Oryctolagus cuniculus: one gene and its partners. The protein of the gene in region 4 purifies or fractionates together with the protein of the main gene of each other region. This does not show direct contact. Links are inferred from orthologs where the notes say so. Each region holds a gene or a part of one and is shown on either strand. Other genes may lie near its edges.

Evidence for each region.
Region 1: the proteins of EXOC6B (region 4) and EXOC8 purify together in Homo sapiens (affinity purification with mass spectrometry; 3 studies listed by BioGRID and IntAct, counting the BioPlex papers as one, with this or other methods). This does not show direct contact. The link is inferred for Oryctolagus cuniculus from reciprocal best matches to the Homo sapiens genes EXOC6B and EXOC8.
Region 2: the proteins of EXOC6B (region 4) and EXOC1 purify together in Homo sapiens (affinity purification with mass spectrometry; 3 studies listed by BioGRID and IntAct, counting the BioPlex papers as one, with this or other methods). This does not show direct contact. The link is inferred for Oryctolagus cuniculus from reciprocal best matches to the Homo sapiens genes EXOC6B and EXOC1.
Region 3: the proteins of EXOC6B (region 4) and EXOC3 purify together in Homo sapiens (affinity purification with mass spectrometry; 3 studies listed by BioGRID and IntAct, counting the BioPlex papers as one, with this or other methods). This does not show direct contact. The link is inferred for Oryctolagus cuniculus from reciprocal best matches to the Homo sapiens genes EXOC6B and EXOC3.
Region 5: the proteins of EXOC6B (region 4) and EXOC7 purify together in Homo sapiens (affinity purification with mass spectrometry; 3 studies listed by BioGRID and IntAct, with this or other methods). This does not show direct contact. The link is inferred for Oryctolagus cuniculus from reciprocal best matches to the Homo sapiens genes EXOC6B and EXOC7.

Annotation. Positions count from the first base shown.
Region 1 is NC_091444.1:50,852,638-50,857,530, forward strand, and holds the start of EXOC8 (exocyst complex component 8), read right to left. Parts: upstream 3,034-4,893; 5' UTR 2,890-3,033; coding exon 709-2,889; 3' UTR 1-708. Other genes in the region: DNA-dependent metalloprotease SPRTN, read left to right, coding at 3,510-3,730. UniProt on the Homo sapiens protein: Component of the exocyst complex involved in the docking of exocytic vesicles with fusion sites on the plasma membrane.
Region 2 is NC_091439.1:108,641,249-108,646,220, reverse strand, and holds the start of EXOC1 (exocyst complex component 1), read left to right. Parts: upstream 1-1,939; 5' UTR 1,940-2,079; intron 2,080-2,229; exon of another isoform or gene 2,230-2,264; intron 2,265-4,972.
Region 3 is NC_091445.1:97,417,047-97,421,995, forward strand, and holds the start of EXOC3 (exocyst complex component 3), read right to left. Parts: upstream 3,034-4,949; 5' UTR 2,900-3,033; intron 139-2,899; 5' UTR 90-138; coding exon 1-89. UniProt on the Homo sapiens protein: Component of the exocyst complex involved in the docking of exocytic vesicles with fusion sites on the plasma membrane.
Region 4 is NC_091433.1:130,043,551-130,048,515, forward strand, and holds the start of EXOC6B (exocyst complex component 6B), read left to right. Parts: upstream 1-1,652; 5' UTR 1,653-1,800; coding exon 1,801-1,913; intron 1,914-4,965. UniProt on the Homo sapiens protein: Component of the exocyst complex involved in the docking of exocytic vesicles with fusion sites on the plasma membrane.
Region 5 is NC_091448.1:4,590,442-4,595,360, forward strand, and holds the start of EXOC7 (exocyst complex component 7), read left to right. Parts: upstream 1-1,886; 5' UTR 1,887-1,974; coding exon 1,975-2,034; intron 2,035-2,184; coding exon 2,185-2,250; intron 2,251-2,683; exon of another isoform or gene 2,684-2,702; intron 2,703-3,889; coding exon 3,890-4,074; intron 4,075-4,204; coding exon 4,205-4,310; intron 4,311-4,919. UniProt on the Homo sapiens protein: Component of the exocyst complex involved in the docking of exocytic vesicles with fusion sites on the plasma membrane.

The DNA of each region.
Region 1 (4,893 bases), on a different chromosome or scaffold from region 4:
AAAAATCACAATCTTTAAGATTTCCAAGTAAACGTTCCCAACTCCAGTAGGAAAACTATGGAGCGGCTAATTAACAAGTGAAAATAATTAGCCATTCAAATTCTGTTGGAAATGTTTGAATCTGTATAAAAGCTTCCTCCTATATAGGGACTGGAGTATCTGAGGCCCCAAGCTAGCTAGCTAGATCATGGAGAAAGAATTCTTTTGACTAGAGTTTACTCCGAAACCAACTTTCCCAACTCCTTTCTTTTCCCCAAAAAGTGTCCAATCACACTTCAAGAAGGGGAAGTACTGAGGCAGCGTGTTTTACATGGTACTGCACCCTTTAAGAAACGTAACCAGGAAACTTTTCACACACACGTAAACTGATGTATTTGTAGACATATTTATCTGTGTTGAATAAGATACACTGTGAGAAAGTGTATTTTGGTTCAAAGGAGAAGCTGAAATAACTGTAGTGCTATCATAAACCCATTAGAGAACTAGCATAATTTAAAAGGTCAGTATATGTTTTAACAACTTTGATATTTTTTGTTATTTGGGCTTAATTTTACATTCTTTTCCTTTCTTCTTTTGGTTTTGCATCTCTGAGGGCACTTTTTACTTGTAAGCTGTGTTTGAGACTATACAGAATATGCTAATACAACAATATAAATATAAATAACCTATAAGCACTATCATCTGTACACATATGGACAGACTCCAGCCTCAGACGACTGATGTCGTACTTTCAGGATTCACCCGCATGAGTCTTGATGCGTTCCTCAGGTCTTGGAGTTGCTTGGCAGGTTTCCCCACACCTTCTTCAAACCTTTTTTCCACCACCGGGAGCACCGTTTCATATAGGAAGGACGCATTCTGTCGGATAAAAGCCTTCTTCTCTGGATCCTGCTCGCACCGAAGGCTATAATCCACATGCTGGACGGCAACCAGAATGATTTCCACCAGGCTCTCCAACAGTACCATGTGCAACTCTGGGAAATACAGCTTTAAGGCCTCTTCCAAAAACGCCATGGTCTGTTTGGTGAAAGCGACCACTGTGTAACTTAGGTTCACCCAGCAGTCATCCCCGGTATACTGCTCAAAGTTACTCACCCCGCAACTTCTCATCTCTTCTTTGAGCTTGCCCAGGGCCTCTGGAGTCATCAAGTTCATCCTCCTCCACATCTCCTCCGAGTTGCGATGTTTGGTGGCTTCAATGATGATTTCTTTGTAACTGTGCAAGGCCCCCTGGATGTCTTTCACCAGAAGGGCGTGGATGATGAAGGTGAGGTCTAGTCCAATATCTCCCAGCTGCTGGCAGTGCTCCTTAGCCACCTTGACGCACTCTGCTGCCGTGGACAGGCTCTCCTTGCTATCAAACACCTGCTTGCTGAAAGCATCTACAAACATGCCCATGGCTGATCTCGCCCAGACCACAAAGGCAGAGTAGCAGCCACTGTCGGTGCCGGCGAAATCTGTCTCAAATTCTCTGGCAGTCTCGAGAAGACACGTAAAGAAGACATGGCACAGCTTATGAATATAGAGTAAAGTGGCACCTTCAATGCGAAGCTGACGGATGGCCGTGTGCACAGCTGCCGCTCTGTTTCTCAAAAACAGCTCGCAAGCCTTTGTGCACTGGCCAAGCCGGATTAGCTGAGAAACCGCCCTGCGAGTAGCCTTGGGCCCACCTCGCAAGGAACGACCTGGGGACAGTTCAAAAACCAGCACCTCCGTGAGCTGCCGGACACGCTCATCCACCTTGGCCCTGAGTTCTTTTACAGGAGGTGGGCTGGGCTTGTCTTCTAGGTAATGATTCAATTTATCTAGCAGGTCAACGGCCCCCTCAAAGTCCCTCTGAGCAATGCACACATCCAGGTCTTCAGGTAACTCCTGGATCCACTCCATCGATAGGTCCACCTTCTCTTCCTCCACCTCGGGGACAGCTGGCTCTTCGTCTTCATCATCCTCAAACGGGTTCGTGGCCTTGGAGGTCACTTGGGGAGGCCCTCTAGAGGCCGCTGCTTCCTCCTGTTCCCTTCGTCTTTTTTCACTGAGGGCCCTCTTGGTTTCTTCCAGCACCTCCAGCCACTCTCGTTTTATTTTGGCATTTTCTGCCTGAAAAATGCGACTCTCGGGGAACATCAGCAGCTTGAACATGTCCTTCATGGGTGGGTTGTCCTTGACATTGACCACGGCCAGGCCATCTAGGGGATAGAGAGCATTGTAGCGATACATCCCCCGCCGCTGGGGCAGCCAGGTGGCCACCAGCAAACAGTCGTTCATGAGAAAGCCGTGCACCCGCTGCAGCTGGGCCATGTGATCCGCTTCGTATTCCACCAGGTCCCCGTTGTACACCAGGTACTGCCCCGGGGTCTCCAGCAGGTGCCTGCAGCCTTCCACCTTTTCAAGCAGGGTGGTGAGAGTGCGCTGCTTTCCTTCCTCGCCCGGGCCGGAACTGTCGCGCGAGGCGCCCCCGGGGCTGGGAAAAAAGCCGGCCTGGCCTCGGAGGTGGTCTCGGCCCCCAGCGCCACCTGCCCCCTCCTCCCCGCCCGAGGCAGCGCCGGCCCCCGCGGCGGCGGCGGCGGCCGGCAGCAAGGTGAGCGGGATGCTCTCCAGGCTGCTCTTCTGTTCCGTCAGGAGATGGCTGAGCTGGTACATCTCGCTCTCCAGGTAGGAGATCTCGCGGGCCGTCTCTATGAACTGCCGGTAGTTCTGGTAGACGTTGCGTTTCAGGTTTTGCGCTGTCTCCTCCGCCAAAGCCTGGATGCGCTGCCGGTGCTCCTGGAGGTCCCGGTCCCCGTCCGACTGCTGCGAGAGCTGCTTCACGTACAGCCGTGCCTCAAAGCTCCCTGATTCTAGCTGCCGCCGCAGGCGGCTCGCTCCACTGTCCGACATCGCCATCGCCATTTCCGTCTGGGTCTCAGGCAGTCGCTGTCACTGTCGCCACGGCTGTCGAGACCCACCCAACTCCAGCCGAGCTCCAGGGCTTAGGAAGCAAGATGCGAGCAAGACGAGTACGCCTGCGCCCGGGTCTGAGCTGCTCACACTGCGCCTGCGCAAGCGGCTGAGCGCAGACCGTACGACTGCGCAGGATTGCCCGCGAACTAGAGCGCACGCGCAGGAGGAGTTATTGCGGAAGCGGGGAGAGGGCGAGAGGGCGAGGCTTAAGTACTGCGCATGAGCAGAGCGTGACGTTTGGGTTTGAAGTTCCTGGTGAAGCGTAGACGCGTTAACTAGCTTCCTGTAACCGTCCTCGGGCCGAGCCCGGGGTTCTGCTCCAGTTTCGAGGTGTCACGGCTAGTTTCTTGTTTAAGCCCTAGAATCTTGCCGTCGGAGTTCGGAGCAAACTCGGTTCTGGTTCCTGTTCTCAGTTCCGTTTTCCCCGAGTTCTCGCGAGATTGGCAGAGCGACCCCGAGAGCAGCCCGAGAACCGGTATCCTAGGAGCTTGAAGCCTCTGAAACGTTTCTGCGGCCTGAGTCGGGAGTCAGCCTAACGCCAGTGAGCCCCGACTGGGATCCTGGCAGTGATGGATGAGGACCTGGTTTTGGCACTTCAGCTTCAGGAGGAGTGGAACTTGCAGGTTGCGGAGCGCGATGGCGCCCAGGAGCCCCTGTCGCTGGTAGACGCGTCCTGGGAGTTGGTGGACCCCACGCCGGATTTGCAGGCCCTGTTTGTGCAGTTCAACGACCGGTTCTTCTGGGGCCAGCTGGAGGCCGTGGAGGTGAAGTGGAGCTTGCGCATGACCCTGTGAGTCCCGAGCCCCGCGGGGGGAACCGAGGCGGAGGGGGCCGCACTTCTTGCCTGCCAGTCCCAGGGGAGTTAAACCAGAGCGTTTGGCTTTGGACGCTTGATGTGTTTCTCTCTTCTTATCCAGTTCAAACAGCTAAGAAAGCTATGTAGCTCACGCCACTGTAGTTGGAATTAGAAAGAACATAATGAGGGGGAAAAAGACCAAAAGAAGAAGAAGAAAAAAAAAAAGACAACTCGCCCCACTGTAAAGTCACACGTTTCTAACCTTCCTGTGCTAGTGCTCTAGAAAACAAGAGGGACAAGCACTCAGATCTTTCCAGAAAGGCAGCTGAGGACGCAGAAAAACTGCCGAAGGCTGCGTGATGGCCTAGTTAACAAACCACCACTTGGTGTAGTGAGCCAGTGTTTTGGAATGGGGAGGGAGTTGAGGTCTCCATATTTCTCGACTCGGGAGCTCTTTGGTGATGCTTCTAAAAGGATCCCCTCTCTACACATGAAGTTTGAGAGCTGCTGATTTGAGTTGATAAGCTGCACATTATCAGAGTTAAGTTTCAGTTACCACTTTGCCATGCCTCTTTTTCTGACTGAGAAAGACAGAGATTTTCCATTTGCTGGTTGTCTTCCTAAATATCCACAACAGGGGGTGGAGTGAGGTTGGGGGTGGGGACGGGGTAGGCCAGATTGAATGCAAGAGCTAGGAACTCCATCTTGGTCTCCAACACAGGTGACAGAAACTCAAGTAGTGGGGCCATCATCTGCTGTCTCCCAGGGGCATTAGCAGGCAGCTGGTCACTGAAGCAGGGCTGAACCTGCCGTGTCACAGTGCCTGCCCCCCACGGTTGTTTTTGATTTGATACAAAACAACCTACAGTAGGACAGATTAAGGTGTGATACAAAATCGTGTTTAAAGTACAAATCTCCTTCATATATGCTGCTGGACATCTGCTTGTTAACCACCACAAACTGATGATAGCTTGTGGGGGGAAGAGGCTTAGAGTAGAACAGGATTGTCCTGGGTGAGCTCTTGCATGCAGCCTGCAATGGAGTGGGAAGCCATTGCTCTTCATGAACAGAGATGAAGCACTAGTGTCTGTTCCCAAAGAGGATATACTTTCCAGAAAGCTCTCTCCTAATAGAGTGTATAAGAATCTGTTTTGTTT
Region 2 (4,972 bases), on a different chromosome or scaffold from region 4:
TTCCAAGCACTGCTGCGGCGACGTGTCCCGAGCCAGGCTTGATGGGCTTTGGGCAGGTGCAACATGACTGTACCTTCCCTCTCGTTCCCTGCCCTGGAAGGCCTCTGATGTAGCAGTCAGTGAGGCATTCACAACCACACAAGTTGGAATTGTGGAGTACTTAACGTCGAGGAGCACATGATCAAAAGGGAACAGGAGCCAACACATAAGTGCTTCCTCCATGCTTGCTCTCAGTGGACAGTTCTGAGAATCATTTCATAACACTTCTTAGAAGGCCCTTGAGAGATTGAGAAAACATTTGCAAAGGGCCATATCCAACGCCATGCCACTTGCTTGGGTTTCCTCTCCCACTTCTCTTGTTTCATTTCCTCTCCTTCTTCCTTACTTTAATTCTCTGGGGTCAAATTCCCAAATAAACTACTGCAGATTAGCCTCACTTTGTGTGTGTGTGTGTGTAGGGGGGGATCCATGAGGGCGAGAGAGAGAGGAGAATTAAATTCAGGGGCATATGTGAGTCAGTGTGAGGTGCCTTTGAGACATCCATGTGGAAATACGGTGGCGAGACAGTGGAAATAAGTCTGGAACTTGGGGAGGGAGTCTAGACCTATGAAATTCAGTTATTTGCTAACTTTGGGGACACAGGTAAACAGAAGATAATGAACAGGACCAAAAATCACATGTAATTATCCTATGGAATGTTCACAATGGTGTTCTGTACCAAGCAGGAAGGACTTCTTAGATCGGCCTCGATCCTACTCTTAAGAGGGAATCAATCTGATCAAAGAGAAAAGCATTCAGGTACATTGTAAACAAATACTGAAATACATTTAGCCCATCTCTGTCCTGGCTTCCTCGGCGACTCCAGCCCCAGCACAGGGAGTGACTCCCTTGTTCACATTCCTCTTTGTCTGGTCCTGCCACATTGTGAACTCTTTCAGAACAGGATTCATGTCTAAACCACCTCTGCACCTGGAGTCAAGAATATGGACTAGGGGCCGGTGCTGTGGTGTAGCTGGTAAAGCTGCCGTCTACGGTGCCGGCATGCAGCTTCAAGTCCCAGCTGCTCCACTTCCCATCCAGCTCCCTGCTAATGGCCTGGGAAAGCAGTGGAAGATGGCCCAAGTCCTTGGGCCCCTGAACCCCCAAGGGAGACCCAAATGAAGCTCCTGGCTCCTGGCTTTGGATCGGCCAAGCTGGACATTGCAGCCATTTGGAGACTGATCAACGGTTGGAAGACCTCACTCTCTGTCTCTGTCTCTCTGTCCCCATAACTCTTTCAAAAGAATAAATGAATCAAAAAATGGAATAATTCAATTTCCTGATTCCCAGCCAGCAACACTAGCATCATCCCTGACCCTCAGTCTTATATGTCGTAAGCATCATCCCAACTGCAGATTCTGCTCGAGTAGATCTGAAATGAGCCCCCGAACGATGCCCTGGTAGCTGCTCCGTGGACCACACTTGGAGTATCGAGGTCACAAGCATGATGGTTCTTAACGTCAGTGGCGTATTAGACACATCTAGGAAGATATTCAAAGTATTATTGCCTTTTGGCAAAGATCAAGTGCGAAGTACTGTGTCTGGATCCCAACCCCGAGTTTATGATTTAACTCATTTAAATCTCCAAGATGTAAGCAGCAAGGGTCTACAGTCAACAGTTTTACATATAAAGAAACCAGTCGGGTTGCTTTTTAAGCGAATTGTTGTGAATATCAGAATAAACAGCTCGTGTAGGGTTGTTAAACGCAGGGCAGCAGATGTCAGTCCCCGTGGGGCAGAAGCCCCGCCCCGCCCCGCCCTCCGGCGAGGCCCCGCCCAGCCCCTCCGGCGAGGCCCCGCCCCCGGCCGGCGTTCCCCGGTCGCTCCTTGGATCCCGCCACTTCTCTTTCCGCCTCTAGACATCCACTTCCGGCGCAGAACGGGTCACGTGCCCGGATATGGGAAGCGGTGAGGAGCGGCCGCTTCCCGTTCACCGGTTAATTGAGGGGCACAGCCTGGGAGCGGTGGTCGCAGCGGCCGCACCCCGCTTCCGTCTGGGAGGACCCGCCGCGGCACAGCTGGGCTCGGTCCGGCCTTGCGGTAAGCCTCTGGCCGCGGCTGCCCAGCAGGCCCGGCGGCGGCGGCGGCGGCGGCGCCGGACCCGAGAGCGGACGGGCAGCCGCCGCCCACTCGGCGGTCAGGCCCCGCTCCCCGGGTCCCGCAGGCTGCGGAGCGGGGAGGGCGGCGCTCGCTCGTCCCGCTGCGGCCCCGCCCCTCGCGGCCAGGTTTGTGCAGACCGGCGGTGCTCGCGCTGTCCACGGCGTCGCCCCGCGGAGGAGGGCGTGACACCGCCCTTCCGCTGGCCAAGTCCACTCCCCCCACCCCGAGTCTGTTAAATGCATTCCCCTGTTTCCGTGCACGGTCTCCTGTGGATGACCGTGCTCCGTGCCCGAAACGTCCCAACCCACACGCGCCTTTAGGGTCACCGGCTGTCGGCCAGCGCGCCGAGAGGGTCCCAGCGGGTTTAAAAAACAAGAGCGACACGCAGTTAGGCAGTGGCGGGCTGCCTCTGGAGCGTAGCAGCCGCGGGTCCCCGGGCCGGGACAGGGCGGACCTGTTGTTGAGTGGCTTACAGAAAAGCGCTCCAAGGACTGGCCCCCTGAGCGCGCACCTGCGTGACGGGAGCCGCCGCTGGGGCCCAGAACAGCCTGGCCCTGGGTAGGCATCAGTAAGTGCCGAGTGATGTCCAGCCGCCTCATGTGCCCGGTGCTCAGCCCTAGCTGTTGCCGGGAGGGTGACTTTGGCCGCTGTGAGTGGTTCTTTGGACCGGTTTTTCCTCTTCAGGTTCCCTCGAGAGGTGTTAAGTACCTGCTTAGTACTCACATCTAGTTGAGCGTGTCTCTCTCTAAGAGGGTTGGAGAGCCAGGAGCTGCTGATCCCCGCCAATGCTCAGTGGTTTAGTCCGTGCAGCAGGTGCACGGCGAGATGAGTCCGGATTCAAATCACCATTGAATGAGCGTCATGTAAACCGTGTGGTGGTGTTAGGGTTTGGGTAGGGAGGAGATGATGTTTCCCGCATGGGGAAGTGCCGAAGCAGAGGTTTAGAGCCCAAAATGAACAGAGTGCTTCCAAGTGGATGCTTTGTATTAGGAAAATGCTGAACAAGGGTGTGGTGTGATGAGATCTACCCCCCCCCCCAGTTATATGGTTGTTATTCAGGGTTGTGGGTGCTTGCAAAGAGATACCCAGATGCTGTGCTGTTGAACAGGTAGAAGTGGGTGTGGGCCTGGGTTCCTGTGTGCATGGCGGGGACATAAAGGAAGGAATGTACCTGTAGATGGGGGGAAGCCCCAGAATGTGGCAGCAGGTTTCTTGTTGACCATGGAGGAAGGACTCAGGACGTTCTGAACACGACATTTGCTGAACGAAGGCGGGGGGGTCTTGAGGAAGCTAAAGCTGCTGGTTATTTGGTGCTCTCGTGTTAGTTATTAAATGCCTGCTGGGTGCCTTTTGCCAAAAGTTCTAGGAATACAAAGGTGAATGAGAAACGGTCCTTGCCAACCAGAAACTGTTTCTGATGGGAGAGGCTGATACCAGCAGTCAGAAAAGACGATCCGAAGCGCGCTGTGTGCAGGGTGGGGGGATGTTGGAGACCTAGAAAGGGAAGTATGCTTCGGGAAACACTGCTTCCCGGAAGAGGTGACACTCTAGCAGGATCCTAAGGAGTGAGTTGCAATCTCTGGGGAGAGGGAATTCCAGGAAAAGGAAATTGCGTGAACGGAAGCCCAGAGATAGAAAAGTAGACCGGGGCGGAGAGTGGAGTAGCCCCTTTAACAGTGTCTAGGCCTTGGAATGTACGAAGGGATCGGCAGCATGGATGCTGCGTTTTGAGTGGGATGGGTGAATGGTTAGAGAGATGGAAGAGGAAGAATTGGGGAGAATTGTACCTCGTGGCTTCTCTTTTCTGCAGAGTAGGCAGTGAAGTCCTATGCAGAGAGGGAGGAGGCTGACAATACGGTTGCAGGCTGAAAGACGATAATAAGGATTTGTAAACAGTAGTGATGCAATAAATGTATTAAAGAATTGCTGAGCTGCCTTCAAAGTCCAGTTTTAGCTGGATCTGTTAGAAACGAATGCAATGCACGTGGGTATATGGCTTTGAAACATAGAATCTTATAGCTCAAGAGAAGTAGAGGAAAAACATGTAGGTTTTTCAAGGTTTCTTGATAAAATAGGATAGCCAGTCTACCAAGAGGGTAAAATAAGAAAGAGGATAGTGTGGGTACTGGGAGATGAACATTGCCTGTAGCCTGGCTTGGGGGCCAGATAGACAAGAATAATGGGAGGGAGGGTGGGAGAGTGAGGAGACCTGAGGCTGAGATGAGCTGAAAGAGGAACAGAAATGCAAAGATGGCATTCTGGGGTCGTGTTATAAAAAGGCGTTATAAATCGTATATATAAAACTCACAGTTTCTTCATTTTCCCATAAAAAATGGTGTTACTAGCAGAAATTAATGTCCGAGGCAAGCTCACATTTGCATTGGAAAATACTGATATATAGCCATACAAACATGTCCCTTATGCTTGAAAAATGAAATTGAGACGTTTTTAAAAAATAGTTTAAATTGACATTTGAAAAAGACACCGATTTATGTGAGAAAAGGGAAATAAGTGGCAGCCTACTTTTGTTACAGCTTTATTGAGATAATTTGCATATCATAAAATTCAGCCTTTTCAAATATATAATTCTGTGTCCTTTAGTGTATTCACAAGATTGTACTCTTTGAACGATCACTGCTGTCTAATTCAAGGACATCTTATCACCCGGAAAGCAACACCATACCCATTAACAGACAGTCCTGCATTCTGCCTTCTCCTCTGGCCCCCACAGTCACTGCTCTTGCTATCAGTTTTCCCAGTCTGGACATTGCCTATGGTTGGAGTCATGCATTATGTAGTCTTTTGTGTTTGGCTTCTTTCACTTACCATAATG
Region 3 (4,949 bases), on a different chromosome or scaffold from region 4:
TGCACTTTGTCCAGCTGGTCTGGGCGCTGAAGCATGCCAGCTACCCGCTGCACGGCTGTTGCCACAGCCTCGCGGTCGGTCTCCTTCATGGTCCACGAGAGGGCACAGTCCCCACGCCTGTCATTCCAGGGGCACTGACTGTACAAGAGAGACAGGGTTAGGAAGGTGGAGACACGGGCACCGAGCACGTCCCCAGCCAGCTGGCCATGTGGGCACTGAGCACGCCCCCAGCCAGCTGACCACGTGGGCACAGAGCATGTCCCCCAGCCAGCTGACCACGTGGGCACAGAGCACGTCCCTACCCAGCTGACCATGTGGGCACTGAGCACTCCCCCTATAGCCAGCTGACCACAAGGGCACTGAACACCCCCAGTCGACTGACCATCTGGGGCCATATGAGAGGTGTCTGAGACCGCAAGTAAACTAGAAAGAAAGCGTAACCAGGCTCATGAACCCCCTGACTCAAATTCAGGGATTTTTTTTTTTAAGATTTATTTATTTATTTCAAAGTCTGAGCTACACAGAGAGAGAAGAGGCAGAGAGAGAGAGAGAGAGAGAGAGAGAGAGAGGTCTTCCATCTGATGGTTCACTCCCCAGATGGCTGCAACGGCTGGATCTGAAGCCAGGAGCCAGGAGCTTCTTCCGGGTCTCCCACATGGATGTACGGGCCCAAGGACTTGAGCCATCCTCCACTGCTTTCCCAGGCCACAGCAGAGAGCTAGATCGGAAGAGGAGCAGCCGGGACTAGAACCGGCACCAATATGGGATGCTGGTGCTTTAGGCCAGGGTGTTAACCCACTGCACCACAGCGCCGGCCCCTCAGGGATGGTTTTACATTACATGTAGAAACCCCTGTTGGGGCCGGCACTGTGGCGTAGCGCATAAAGCTGCTGCCTGCAATGCCGGCATCCCACATGGGCGCCGGCTCCAGTCCCGGCTGCTCCACTTCTGATCCAGCTTCCGCTATGGCCTGGGAAAGCAGTAGAAGATGGTCCAAGTCCTTGGGCCCCTGCACCCATGTGGGAGACCCGGAAGAAGCTCCTGGCTCCTGGCTTCAAATTAGCACAGCTCCGACTGTAGTGGCCGGTTGAGGAGTGAACCAGCGGTGGAAGACCCCTCTCTCTCTCTGCCTCTCCTCTCAATGTGTAACTCTTTCAAATAAATAAATAAATCTTAATAAAAAAGAAAAAGGAAGAAAGAAACCCCTGTGCACGAGAAAGCAAGCGCGCGCACCAGTCCCTGTGCGTGAACCTGCACACGTCAGCCCGAGGCCCTGCGGCGCCCCTGACAGGAGCCTTCTCGCCAGCCCAGGGCCGCGCACAACTGCCCCAGAGGGCGAGCACGCACCCAGGGCCGCCCTGCAAATCACCACGCACAACTCCATCCCCTGCATTTCACAGCCCTGACAGAGGGTGGGGAGGGCAGGGGACGCGGCACAGGCGCTGACCCAGCTCCCCCGCCAGCGGCCCCAGCTCCAGCACTACCCCCACCACGGCCACCTCTGCCGGGCTTTCTCATTCCCATTCCCGGCTCTCAGGAGAACGTGCGGGTCTCTTCTCTTTCAGAGGCGGCACTGCAACCACTACCCTCTTCTCCTCCCCTGGTTACGAAATCAAACCACATACAACAACGCACGGGAGATATGGACACGCCAGAGGCAGCCGCGTCCCCCCGCCCCCCCAGGCGCCCTCTCCTGCCGGCTCGGTGGCCCCCGCTGCTCCCTGCATTGCTTCAGTACCCAGAGTGCGGCTTTGCACACGACCACGTTCCCGCTGACACGGGACCCTCATCTTGATGACCACAGCCAAGACGCTCGCAGCGTGCCCTGAGCCCGGCCGCACTGGCCCTCAGCACCCTTCCTGGGTGCAGGGCAGCGGAGGGCTCGCCTCTGAACAGACCGGGAAAGCAGGAGGCTCACCAGGGACCGCACAGGGTGCGCCAGTCTCCCCAGGCCAGACGGGAACTCCTAGGGCCCCAGAGACCCTGAGGAACCTCCACAGCCCTCCCACACCGGCATCGGGGAGGCACCGATGGGCTGAGGAGTCAGATGGGCAGACACCACGGGGTGACACCTGTGCTCGGGAGCGACCCGCGGGGGTGACTCCCGGGCCAGGGGGCGACGCCCTGGGGGTGACACCGTGCCCGGGGACGACCCGCGGGGGTGACACTCAGGCCGGGGGATGACCCGCAGGGGTGACACTCAGGCAGGGGGACGATCCGTGGGGGTGACGGCCAGGCCAGGGGACGACCCGCGGGGGTGACACTCAGGCCGGGGTATGACCCGCGGGGGGGACACCCGGGCCGGGGGACGACCCGCAGGGGTGACAGGCAGGGGGACGATCCGTGGGGGTAACACTCAGGCAGGGGGACGATCCGTGGGGGTGACGGCCAGGCCAGGGGACGACCCGCGGGGGGGACACCCGGGCCGGGGGACGACCCGCAGGGGTGACAGGCAGGGGGACGATCCGTGGGGGTAACACTCAGGCAGGGGGACGATCCGTGGGGGTGACGGCCAGGCCAGGGGACGACCCGCGGGGGTGACACTCAGGCCGGGGGATGACCCGCGGGGGGGACACCCGGGCCTGGGGACGATCCGTGGGGGTGACACCCGCACTGGTGGACGACCCGCGGGGCTAACACCCGGCCCGGGGACACCCGCGGGGGTGACGGCCGGGCCGGGGGACGACCCGCGCGGGGTGACACCCGGCTGAAGAGACTCCCGAGCCGAGAGGACACAGCGAGGCGGACACCGCACCGCGGCCCAGACGGCCTCGGGGAGCCCCGCCCTCGGGCCCCGCCCCGGCCGCCGCTCATCCCGCGGACGCCCAAGGACAACGGCGGCAGGGTCGGCGGCCACCACCCAGCGGACCGCAAGCCTTCGGACCCCACAACGCCTCACCGCCCGCGCCGCCGCTGCCGCTGCAGCCGCCGCCCGCTCCCGGGCCCGACAGGAAGTGGACGCTGAAGGGCACTTCCGCTTCCGGCGACGCAGGTGGCGGGCGGGGCCTGGCCAGTGGGCGGGCCTTCGGGACGGCAAGACCGTCCGGTGCTCCGGGGGTCGCTGTCCACGGAGCCCGGTGACGGCTGGGGGCTTCCTGCCTGTCCCGGCTCCGCCGCCCCTTCCCTGACGTGCGCCGGACGCCGCCCGCCCGGACCCCTCAGGATTCACAGCCGCAGGCGCCGACCCCCGGCCCGCCCCATCGCGGTGTGTGTGCGCGAGTGCGGGTGTGCGGGTGTGCGGGCGTGCGCGTGTGTGCGCGCCTGTGCGTGAACGCGTGTGCATGTGTGTATTTGTGTGGGCGCGTATGCCCGTGTATGTATGTGTGTGTGCGTGAACGTGTGTGAACGCGTGTGCATGTGTGTATTTGTGTGGGTGTGCACATGTGTGCACATGCGTGTGGACATGTGTGTTCGCGCGTGTGCTTTCGTGTCACAGAAGTTCTGCTGTGGGCACCTCGGTGTCAAGGCCATAACGGCCTAGAATACCGGACATGGGAGGGGGCTCACAGGAGCCCTCCACCCTCTGTGCTGGGCCCTGGGGGGGTCACGGCAGCAGCGTGCATGGGCGTTCTTGGGAGCGTTTCCCTTCATGCTGCCGCTGCCACTTCTTCCTGGCAAAGCAAGTGTGGGCACTGAATGAAACACAACTGAGGTGTTTACAGCCTTCCGTTCCCTGAGCTCTGACCCAGTGAGGCGGGCACAGTCAGGGACAGTGCAGTGAGTCCCAGCTGGCTTCACTCCATGTGTCAGATGCCCTCAGGATGGACAGGTGGCACCCAGGGGTGGTGCCCTCAGGATGGACAGATGGTGCCCGGGGTCAGATGCCCACAGGATGGTGCCCGGGGTCAGATGCCCTCAGGATGGACAGGTGGCACCCAGGGGTGGTGCCCTCAGGATGGACAGGTGAAACCCAGGGGTGTTGCCCTCAGGATGGACAGGTGAAACCCAGGGTCAGATACCCGCAGGATGGTGCCCGGGGTCAGATGCCCTTAGGATGGTGCCCGGGGTCAGATGCCCTCAGGATGGACAGGTGGTGCCCGGGGTCAGATGCCCTCAGGGTGGACAGGTGGTTCTCGGGGTCAGATGCCCTCAGGATGGACAGGATGGTGCCCGGGGTCAGATGCCCTCAGGATGGTGCCCGGGGTCAGATGCCCTCAGGATGGACAGGATGGTGCCCGGGGTCAGATGCCCTCAGGATGGACAGGTGGTGCCCGGGGTCAGATGCCCTCAGGGTGGACAGGTGGTGCCCGGGGTCAGATGCCCTCAGGATGGACAGGATGGTGCCCGGGGTCAGATGCCCTCAGGGTGGACAGGTGGTGCCCGGGGTCAGATGCCCTCAGGGTGGACAGGTGGTGCCCGGGGTCAGATGCCCTCAGGATGGACAGGTGGTGCCCGGGGTCAGATGCCCTCAGGATGGACAGGATGGTGCCCGGGGTCAGATGCCCTCAGGGTGGACAGGTGGTGCCCGGGGTCAGATGCCCTCAGGATGGACAGGTGGTGCCCGGGGTCAGATGCCCTCAGGATGGACAGGTGGTGCCTGGGGTCAGATGCCCTCAGGATGGACAGGATGGTGCCCGGGGTCAGATGCCCTCAGGATGGACAGATGGCATCAGGCTGTGAGTCACATGGTCACAGGGGACATCCTTGGCAGTGACCTCTGCTCTCATACAGAACAGGCTCGGGCTGGGGCTCAGGCTGATGGAGGCCCAGCAGGCTGGGCAGTCAGGCTCTGTCTGTCCCATAAGGCTGCTGCTCACTGGGAGAGCCCCTAAGAGAGACAGGTGTGGGGCAGCTGCGGGCACCAGCGGAGCCCTCACTGGGTCAGCTCTGGTGCCGGGCGCCCCTCCCATGTGCAACAAAAAGTAGCAAACGCCATCCTCAGCCAGGTCAGTGCTTGTCACAGGCGGGTGTCTCCATCAGACCAGGGAGTGTGGACTCCCTGCCTGGAC
Region 4 (4,965 bases):
ACGTCAGGGTGCAGGGCTGCTTTCCAAGGTACAATTAGCAAGGAGGTGGATCAGAAGTGGAGCAGCTGGAATTTGAATCCAAGCAGTGTCATAACTGTGCTGAATGCTTGCTGCAACAATTAGTGTTTATTTTTTTTTTTAATAGAAAAATCCATACAAAAAAGGGAAATAATTCCCAAAGGGCAAACAATACATGATTACAAACTACCTTCCTTCTACTTCAGGCCCTTTCTTTACAAAACTTCTGGCTGATGCCAGTATTAAGTTTTTAAAATATTCTTTCAGAAGTAATTCTATCTATGTAATATTTTATGTACATGTAAATTTGCATGTGAATATTCCTTCCTTTACAAAAGGAAATGGGAACATAGTCTCTGTATTGTTTCATGCCTTGCTTTTTTTCCACTCAACAATAAAATTTGGAGACAGTTTTATATCCAAATATAAAGTATTTTGTCTTTGTTTTTAATGATTGCATAATAATCCATACTATTGCTGTAGCACAAATTATTTAGTCTCAACTTCCAATTTGGTTCTTGTGATATGCTTTTTTTAAAGATTTATTTATTTTTATTTGAAAGGCAGAGTTAGAGAGAGGAGAGACAGAGAGATCTTCCATCCACTGGTTCACACCCCAAATGGCTGCAACAGTTGGGGCTGGGCCAGGCCAAAGCTAGGAGCCAGGAGCTTGATCAGGCTCTCCACGTGGGTGCAGGGGCTCAAACACTTGGGCCATCCTCAGCTGCTTTCACAGGCGCATTAGCAGGGAGCTGGATGTGAAGTGGAGCAGCCGGATTGGAACCGGTGCCTATATTGGATGCTGGCGCTGCAGACTGTTGCTTAATGTGCTGTGCCACAGTGCTGGCCCAGCTCCCCCCCCCCCCCTTAAAATTTATTTTATTTCTTTGAAAGGCAGTGTTACCGAGAGAGAAGAGGGGGATAGATAGGTGGATAGATGGATAGATAGATAGATCGTCCATCTGCTGGCCCACTCCCCAAACGGCTGTAATGGCTAGACCTGAGCCAGGCCAGATTCCATCTGTGTCTCCCATGTAGGTGGCAGGGACACAAGCACTTGGGCCATCTTGGGCTGCCTTCCCAGGCGCTTTAGCAGGGATCTGGATCGAAGTGGAGCAGCCCGGACTCCCACCGTGCCCATATGGGACTCCGGCACTGCAGATCAGGACTATAACGAGCTGCGCCACAGCGTGGGCCCCTACTACTACTTCTTAATACCTCAGCGCACATGACATCCTAGCTGCCACACTTTCCAGGTTCTTAGCTTACAAACCTTCACAAGCAGAAGTGATCCTGGTGCTTCTGAGCTGGCTTGCAGCCACAGGCTGCCTTGTATCACAGTTTTGATACCCGTCTTGATTGTGAGATCGCCATCAGCACACAGCTTATTAGTACTTTCCCGCTGTTCATGCTTTGTACTTTGTGACAAAGATGTTCAACAAGAATTTGTAGGGTTAGTGACATTCACGGACTTCATTGTCATTGTATACGCAGTGTCATTGACTGTTCCTGACTTATGTTGGGCTTTCAACACATTTGTGGATTCAGTGAGTAAATGAACAGATCCCCGCCTATAGTCGCTTGGAGAACTTCAAATCCCAGCAGACACTGCGCGGAACGTCGGCGGACGCGGTGATGCAAGGGGGCGTGGTGAGCCTGAGGGAGGGGTCGTCCTGCGGGCAGCTGGAGGCTGGGGCGGCTGGGATCCTGGGGTGAGGGAGTGAAGGAGCGAAAGGTGAGCCCGACTGAAGGAGCGGACGCGTTGCCCGGCGCCCCCAGTCTATGGAGCGGGGTAAGATGGCGGAGGCGGAGAGCCTGGAGACAGCGGCAGAGCACGAGCGGATCCTGCGGGAGATCGAGAGCACCGACACGGCCTGCATCGGGCCCACGCTCAGGTACCCCCGGTACCGGGGCCACCGACGGGTGGGCACGGGCGGAACAGGGGGGCAGGCTCCTTTGGGTCCGGTGCCGGCCGCCCGCTGGGCCAGCGCAGCCCCTCCCATTGGAGACACCCGCTAGTGACCTGTAGGCTGGCGAGGCGGGGCTCCCTCCGCAGCCCCGACGTGGGGTCCCTTCCCGATCGGTCGTCCGCGCCCCACAGTCCCGCGACTCCGGAGGCGCCTCTTGCCTGCCTCGCGGCCGGGGCAGGCTTCGCGCTCCCTCCGAGGCTAGCCCAGCGCCGGGGAACGAGAGAGCGCCCGGCAGATGGTGGCTCCTAGCAGCTCTTCCCCCATGGGAACATCACCCGGCTCCCTCCGACTCAGACCTCGTCCCGCCCCAGACACAAGTCTGCTCTTCAGACAAAACAGTTTCCCTGCATGGTGTGTTGTTTGGAATTAAGCTGCTGCCTCAGAATCACAGCTGCGTCCGAGAAACCAGTGTCCGAAAATCCTAGGCCCTGCAAGGAAGTTTCCCTCGACCCCGCGCCGCTCGCTGGAGAGCTGATGCGCCTTTAACCCGGGTGGGAGGCCGGTCCCTCCTCCAGGTGCAGCCGGGCGGTGTTCTCGAAGAAGGAAAACCTGCCCCGCCCCGCAGTTACAATGCTCTGCACGCACACCTCCATTTTACTTGGAGATGTCACAACAAACCCCTCACTTATTTAAGCAAATTTGGGTAGCACTTGTTACGCACATCGTGACACATTGTATTAAGTGATTTACACATTATGACTTCCTGAAACCACAAAACAATCTTATTAGGCAGGTGCTGTTATTATTTTCATTTTACAAATGAGGCTCCGAGAGGTGAAGTGACTTGCCCAAGGTCACAGAGAAAGTAAAGTGGGGTTCCGGGGGTTCCTACTCAGACGGTCTGCACCAGACTCTGTCATTGCGCTATTCTGTCTCAAATAGGGATTACTCGCCTACTTCCTGTTGGTAATTGCTTACCAAGCCTAATTTTGAACTACTTTCTTTCTCCCTTTAGTTTACTGGTGCCCTAGAATTAACTCATCTTTCCCTGTGGCACACTCTGATCTCCTTGCAGCCAGTAGACAGAATTATCTTACCCTCCTGGTAGAGTCTTGAGTCACTGCTCCTCAGTCTAGAGTCCTTACTCACTGCCTGCTTTCTCATGGGCAGAGCTGCCTCCGGAGGGAGTGACTGAAGGGAAGGCAGGCTGGAGGCTTCACTCTATCTCCACCTGCCCGGCTTCCTTCTCCAGGGCATATTGTTAGCTCTGTTCTCCCAGGGCCATCCCCAGACATAACTGCCCTCAGTAGTTTGCCTTTTGTTCCTTTTAGAGTTGCCTCTTCTCTCTGTCCCTGTTCCCATTGTGTTATGATTTGGATCGTCATGCTCCTGTCCTATCCCATTTCTTAAGCTCTTAGGGTCACTGATTCTGATTTCAAGTCCACTTTTATAAAAGCTGAGGGCTACTTACTAATATTCTACTAAGTGCATTATTAATGGTTATTAATATTTGGTTTTCATAAAATGTTACTAGAGCTACTGAGGATGCTATTTCAATATTACATGTATGTATATTTTAAATATGTATTTATTTGACAGATAGAAAGAAAGAGATATAAAGAGGTCTTTCATCCCCTGGGGTTCACTCCCCAAATGGCTGCAACAGAGGCTTGGAACTCCTTCTGGGACTTCCACTTGGGTGGCAGGGGCCCAAGCACTTGGGCCATCTGCCACCACTGTACCAGATGCGTTAACAAGGAGCTGGTTTGGAAGCAGAGCAGCCACTGCACCACAGTGCTGGCTCTTCTGTGTTATATTAAAAAATTTTGGGGTGGGCATTTGGTGCAGTGGTTAAGACATACTTGGGAAGTACTTGGGATACCTGCACGCTAAGTCATGGTACCTAAGTTTGAGTCCTGACTCTGCTCCTGATTCTAGCTTCCTGTTGCACATCTTGGGAGGCAGCAGGTGATGGCTCAAGTTTTGGGTCCCTGCCATCCACATAGGAGACCTGATTGTGTTCCAGGCTCCTGGCTTCGGGCCGTTTGGCCACTTGGGGTGTGAACCAGTGGATGGGAGATCTCTGTCTGTCTCTCTCTGCATTTCAAACCAAATAAAATAAATAAATCTTAAAAGAAAAAATGAATTTGGCTGCTAGCTGCAGTTGGCATCCTGGCCATATTCCCACTGGAGCTGTTGAGATTACTAGAGGTTTTAGGAAGGGTTCTTTATCAGAGCACCATCAATGTTGTTTTGAGTTGCTTGTGGTTTTCAATTGCTGTTCTTGATTTGTGTGATAAATGATTTAGTGTTATCAATTTAATTTGTTGCGACTTATTATATTAACTCTCAACTGAAAAGTAAATACTTCTGAATTTTGGCCTTTAGTTCTCCAGTTTCTTTGCTTTCAGAATATATGCATTATGGGTCAAATGTAAGTTACCCGTTTCCTCTAAAATTTGCTTCTTTGTTAACCCTGAGTTCCTTTTCACTGGAAAATGGGGTTTTGAGGAGTTAGATGGATTAAGGGATGTTTTGCCCTAAGGGAATATTGAATAAAAAAGTTTGAGAACTTGCATTATTCTACAGTTTAGTTGCTTTTCTTGACTCTCTCTCTTTTTTTTTTTTGGACAGGCAAAGTTAGACAGTGAGAGAGAGAGAGACAGAGAAAAACAGAGAAAAACACCCCCCAAATGGCCACTACGGCCAGCGCGCTGCACCGATCCAAAGCCAGGAGCCAGGTGCTTCCTCCTGTTCTCCCACACAGGTGCAGGGCCCAAGCACTTGGGCCATCCTCCACTGCCCTCCCAGGCCACAGCAGAGAGCTGGACTGGAAGAGACTGGGACAGAATCCGGCACCTCAACCAGGACTAGAACCAGTGGTGCTGGCGCCGCAGAGGGAGGATTAGCCTAGTGAGCTGTGGCTCCGGCCTTGACTCTCTATCTTATTGTTGAGGTCTTTTCATTTTTGCTCTTGTCTTTTCTTTGGCAGTTAACCCTAAATCCTGCTCTGAGACCCATGGCTCGAGCACTTGAA
Region 5 (4,919 bases), on a different chromosome or scaffold from region 4:
CAGGCCTGTGGGGCCCACTCCACCAGCTGCGTGCACTCGGCGCCTGGACCTCCCGGGCCCCAGCCTCCCGTCTGTGCCGGGCTGCAGGTGCATCACCGAGACCAGACAGCTGGGGCCAGCGCAAACATGAGGCTCTCGGTGACTGGCAGTGCGCTACAAAGCTACACTTAGGACTGGAAGGGCAGGTGAGAACATGCAGCACACAGGGGCTGGGCCCCGTGAGGACAGCCTCCCAGCCCTCCCGCAGCTTAGCAAGTACCCCCCTGCCTTTTTTTTTAATATTATTATTTTTTATTTTTTGACAGGCAGAGTGGACAGTGAGAGAGAGAGAGACAGAGAGAAAGGTCTTCCTTTGCCATTGGTTCACCCTCCAGTGGCTGCCGCGGCCGGCGCACCGCGCTGATCCAATGGCAGGAGCCAGGTGCTTTTCCTGGTCTCCCATGGGGTGCAGGGCCCAAGCACTTGGGCCATCCTCCACTGCACTCCCTGGCCACAGCAGAGAGCTGGCCTGGAAGAGGGGCAACCGGGACAGAATCCGGCGCCCCGACCGGGACTAGAACCCGGTGTGCTGGCGCCGCAAAGTGGAGGATTAGCCTAGTGAGCCGCAGCGCCGGCCCCCCTGCCTTTTGCTAGCAGGTGAACCATGCCCGAAGAGCGAGGGAGAGCCGGCCCACCAGGCTCCAATCACTGGGTGCAAGAGGTCATTGCCGGCGTGGTGGTGGGCATTGACTGGAGGGGCTTCTCTTCAGGGAACGCCAGGTCCGGCTAGAAAGTAACCACACCTGCCTGTAGCCCCCAGACTGAAGCCCGCGGGGCCACCATAACATTACACAGAGAACACCGCAGCCTGGCTAACCAGGGGAAGGCGGGCTACCACCACCCAACCAGGAGCCCACACAGGCACTGCACACCCATCTCGTTCCAGCTTCCTCCGCGAGACCCTTCGCCCCTCCTCCTCAGTGGCCCAGGAATCAGGCCCATGGCTGCCCAGCGCCTTGCTCTGTGCATTGCGACATCAGCTTCCTATCCCAGCCGTGGCACAGCGGGCCCAGCTGCCTGCTCATCGCCTGTGACACCGGCTTCCTGTAGGGACGCGGGTTCCAGTCCCGGCTGCTCCCCTGCAGATCCAGCTCCCTGCTAAGGCGCCCGGGAAAGCCGGATGGGGCCCAAGTGCGTGGGCCCCTGCGCCCACGGGGGAGACCCAGGTGGAGGTTCCACGAGGTACCTTCCGCCAGTCCAGAGAGCACTTGGCAACCCTTCCTCCTGGCTTGGGGCTTTTATCCCTAAAGACTGAGGGGCGTTGACTAGTGCGGCTCTGACCATGATTGGCATTTGTGATTGACACCTGGGAGCTGCAGCCCTTTGGGCTGTCTGGGCATGTGGCTACAAACTAGACTTAGGTTTGTAAATGGTTTGCCTGGACGCCACTGTATCAGAGTACTTTAAACACAAGTTAAACTGAAAGCCGGGTGACCCTCGGATGACGGTTTTGTGCCTCCAACCCTCCCCACCCCCGTCACTTGTGCCCAACCACCTGACAGCCCCAAACCTTGCTACCCCACAGCACCTGCCGCATTCTATGCCTGCCCGTGCCCGGACACCTGGACCCAGGGCGACTAACAAAGCAGGAAGCAGTACCGCCATGTGCTTCCCCAGGGAATGGGGCCGCAGGCAGGGTGGGCAGGCAAAGGAAGGGGAAGGAGAACTTTGGCGCCTGCACCCAAAGCGCGAGTCAGCACCGACAGAAAACAGGGCGCTCCGGGTCTGCCTTCCTCTCCTGCCACACTTAAAATGGCCGCCCACCCATGCCTATGCCTGAGCTCTGCGCAGGCGCATTTCTGCCTGCCACTCCCAACATGGCTCCACACGCGCCCGGGGCGGGGCTAAGGGCGGAAGTGGGTGTGACAGGGACGGGAGCCGAGCGGGCCCGCTGCGGGAAGACGCTGAGGAGTGGAGGCCGCACGGTTTGGAGCGATGATTCCCCCGCAAGAGGCGTCCGCCCGGCGGCGGGAGATCGAAGACAAGCTGAAGCAGGTGGGCTGGGCACGCGGTGAGGGGCAGGGGCCGGGAGCCGGGCCGGGGCAGTGGTGGGAGAGGGGCTGGGGGCTTGGCCGGGGGGCCGGGAAGCGGTGGGCTGGGTCAGCCCTCTGCTTCTGCTAATGGCCCGCTCTCCGCTCCCCGCAGGAGGAGGAGACGCTGTCTTTCATCCGAGACAGCCTGGAGAAGAGCGACCAGCTCACCAAGAACATGGTGAGGAGGGGCTCGCGGGCCCCGGGGGAGAGCCCAGGGCCGGGGGCGCCGGGGGCGAGGCGGGGCTCCCCAGCCACAGTGGACAGCTGCCACCGTGCGCCCTCCCCGTGTTCCGGCCCCTGGCTGGGGACGCTGCGGCCCTGCCGCGCTCCGTCTGTCCATGTAGTGGTCCGGGTACCGTCCAGTGCAGGTCCTTTCGGCGATGGGCGGTCCCAGGGGCTCTGGGGTAGGAGGAGCTCTGAATTCAGAGCCGAGATCTGGTCCGTGCCCCCAGTCCCCCTTCTGTGGCTCCCGACAGGTGCCTCGGAGCCGCAGCGTCAAGGTCAACCTCCCAGTCTGGAGGCCGTGAGAGCTATTGCTGTGAACCCACGGCCTGGTATACAGCAGGCGCTCAGTAAATGAGTCTGCATTCCTAGCGGAGACTGGACGAGCGCGAATTGAGTGAATGATGGGTTTGGACTTTTATTTGTCACCCTGTAGTGAAGTCTCAGTGCTGATGGTGGGAGAGGGTTTCGGGGGCACCGGCAGTGCCGTTGAGGCTGCTCTGTGTGAAGCGGCTTTACCTTCCGCCTGAGAAGGCTTCGCTGAGAACAGAAATCGAGACTTGGCTTCTCAGGGTAGAAGTCTGGGGTGATTACTCTAGGAAGAATTAATTTGATGCTTATTTTGCCTTCAAATCTTTTTTTTTTTTTTCTTTTTGACAGGCAGAGTTAGACAGTGAGAGAGAGAGACAGAGAGAAAGGTCTTCCTCCCGTTGGTTCACCCTCCAAATGGCTACCACGGCTGGCACACCGCGCTGATCTGAAGCCAGGAGCCAGGTGCTTCTCCTGGTCTCCCATGGGGTGCAGGGCCCAAGCACTTGGGCCATCCTCCACTGCACTCCCTGGCCACAGCAGAGAGCTGGCCTGGAAGAGGAGCAACCAGGACAGAATCCTGCGCCCCGACAGGGACTAGAACCCGGTGTGCCAGTGCCGCAGGCGGAGGATTAGCCTAGTGAGCCGCGGCGCCGACCTTTTTTCCTTTTTTCTTTTTAAAGATTTGTTTGTTTGAGAGGTAGCGTACAGACAGAGAGAGGGAGAGACAGACCAGCTCCTCCTTGGGAAAAGATTTCCTTTTCTTAGGTTTGGAGGAAGAGGCAGGCGGCTGCTCTATCCTGTTCTCCTGAGGAGCCTCCTGGGGCTTTTGCTTTTTCCTCTTTTTGGGTTTCTCCTGCGCCTCCTACAGGGAGATGGGGGAGGTCTGTGAGAGAGGTCTTCCATCCACTGGTTCACTCCCCAGATGGCCGCGACAGCCGGAGCTGCACCCATGTGAAGCCGGGAGCCGGGAGCTGCTTCTGGGTCTGCCATGCAGGGGCCCACGCACTTGGGCCGTCTTCACTGCTTTCCCAGGCCGTAGCAGAGGAACAGCCAGGAGACAAACTGGCGCCCATATGGGATGCCAGTGCCACAGGAGGAGGCTTAGCCCAGAGTGCCAGCCCCCAAATTTCAGCTGGCACGTTTTGGACCACCTGCTCTGTGTCAGGCACATGAGGGATGCAGCGGGGGACGGGTCCATCCTGTCCCTTCCCGCGTGGAGCTTCCCGTGTGGAAGCGCAGAGACCGCGGTGCTGAGGGCGCTGAACGCCGGGGCCTCCCCGCAGGTGTCCATCCTGTCGTCCTTCGAGAGCCGTCTCATGAGGCTGGAGAACTCCATCATCCCCGTGCACAAGCAGACGGAGAACCTGCAGCGGCTGCAGGAGAACGTGGAGAAGACGCTGTCCTGCCTGGACCACGTCATCAGCTACTACCACGTGGCCAGCGACACCGAGAGGATCATCAGGGAGGGGTGAGCCCGGCCCTCGGGTCCTGGCCCAGTGCCCTGGGCCGCGGAAGGGGCCGTGGAATGCCTGACCGTGCAGCCCCGCACCGCGTGCTCCCCCTCCCCCTCCCGCTGAGCCGGGTCCTTTCCGCCGCAGCCCCACAGGGAGGCTGGAGGAGTACCTGGGGAGCATGGCCAAGATCCAGAAGGCTGTGGAGTACTTCCAGGACAACAGCCCAGACAGCCCGGAGCTCAACAAAGTGGTAAGGGGCCGAGGGGCCGTGGGAGAGGTGAGGGGACGCGCAGCCCGGTCCCCATCGCCCGGGGCACGCTGGGTCAGCATGGAGAGGGCTGTGGAGAACACAGGGCGGACTGCAACCTGATACGCATGCGTCGAAGGCAAGACCTCTGCTTCAGATGGCGTAGGTGTACGTGTAAACCGCATAGAAGGTGTAAATGCAGCATTTGGTTTCTAGAGCTGATTTGCGGCTTATCGTGGTAAACATGCATCATACAAGGTTTGCCATCGTAACCTTTCTAAGTGCACGCTCGGGGCGTGGAGCCCCGGCCTCCTGCTTATGCTCACCCTGCGATGGGAGATGACGATGCAGGGGACGACAGAGAGAGGGAGAAATCTCCCGTCCACCCGTTTCCTCCCCTCATGCCTACGGCAGCCGGGGCTGGACCAGACTGAAACAGGAGCCCGGATTCCGTGTGGGTCTCCCACGTGGGTGGCAGGGACCCCAACACTCCGCTGTCACCTGCTGCTCTCCCAGGCGCCTTAGCAAGGAGCTGGGTTGGAAGTAGAGCAGCCAGGGCTCACAAACCAGCACTGGCCACGCAGCTGCCCACGGCCACAGCCCACGGCCACA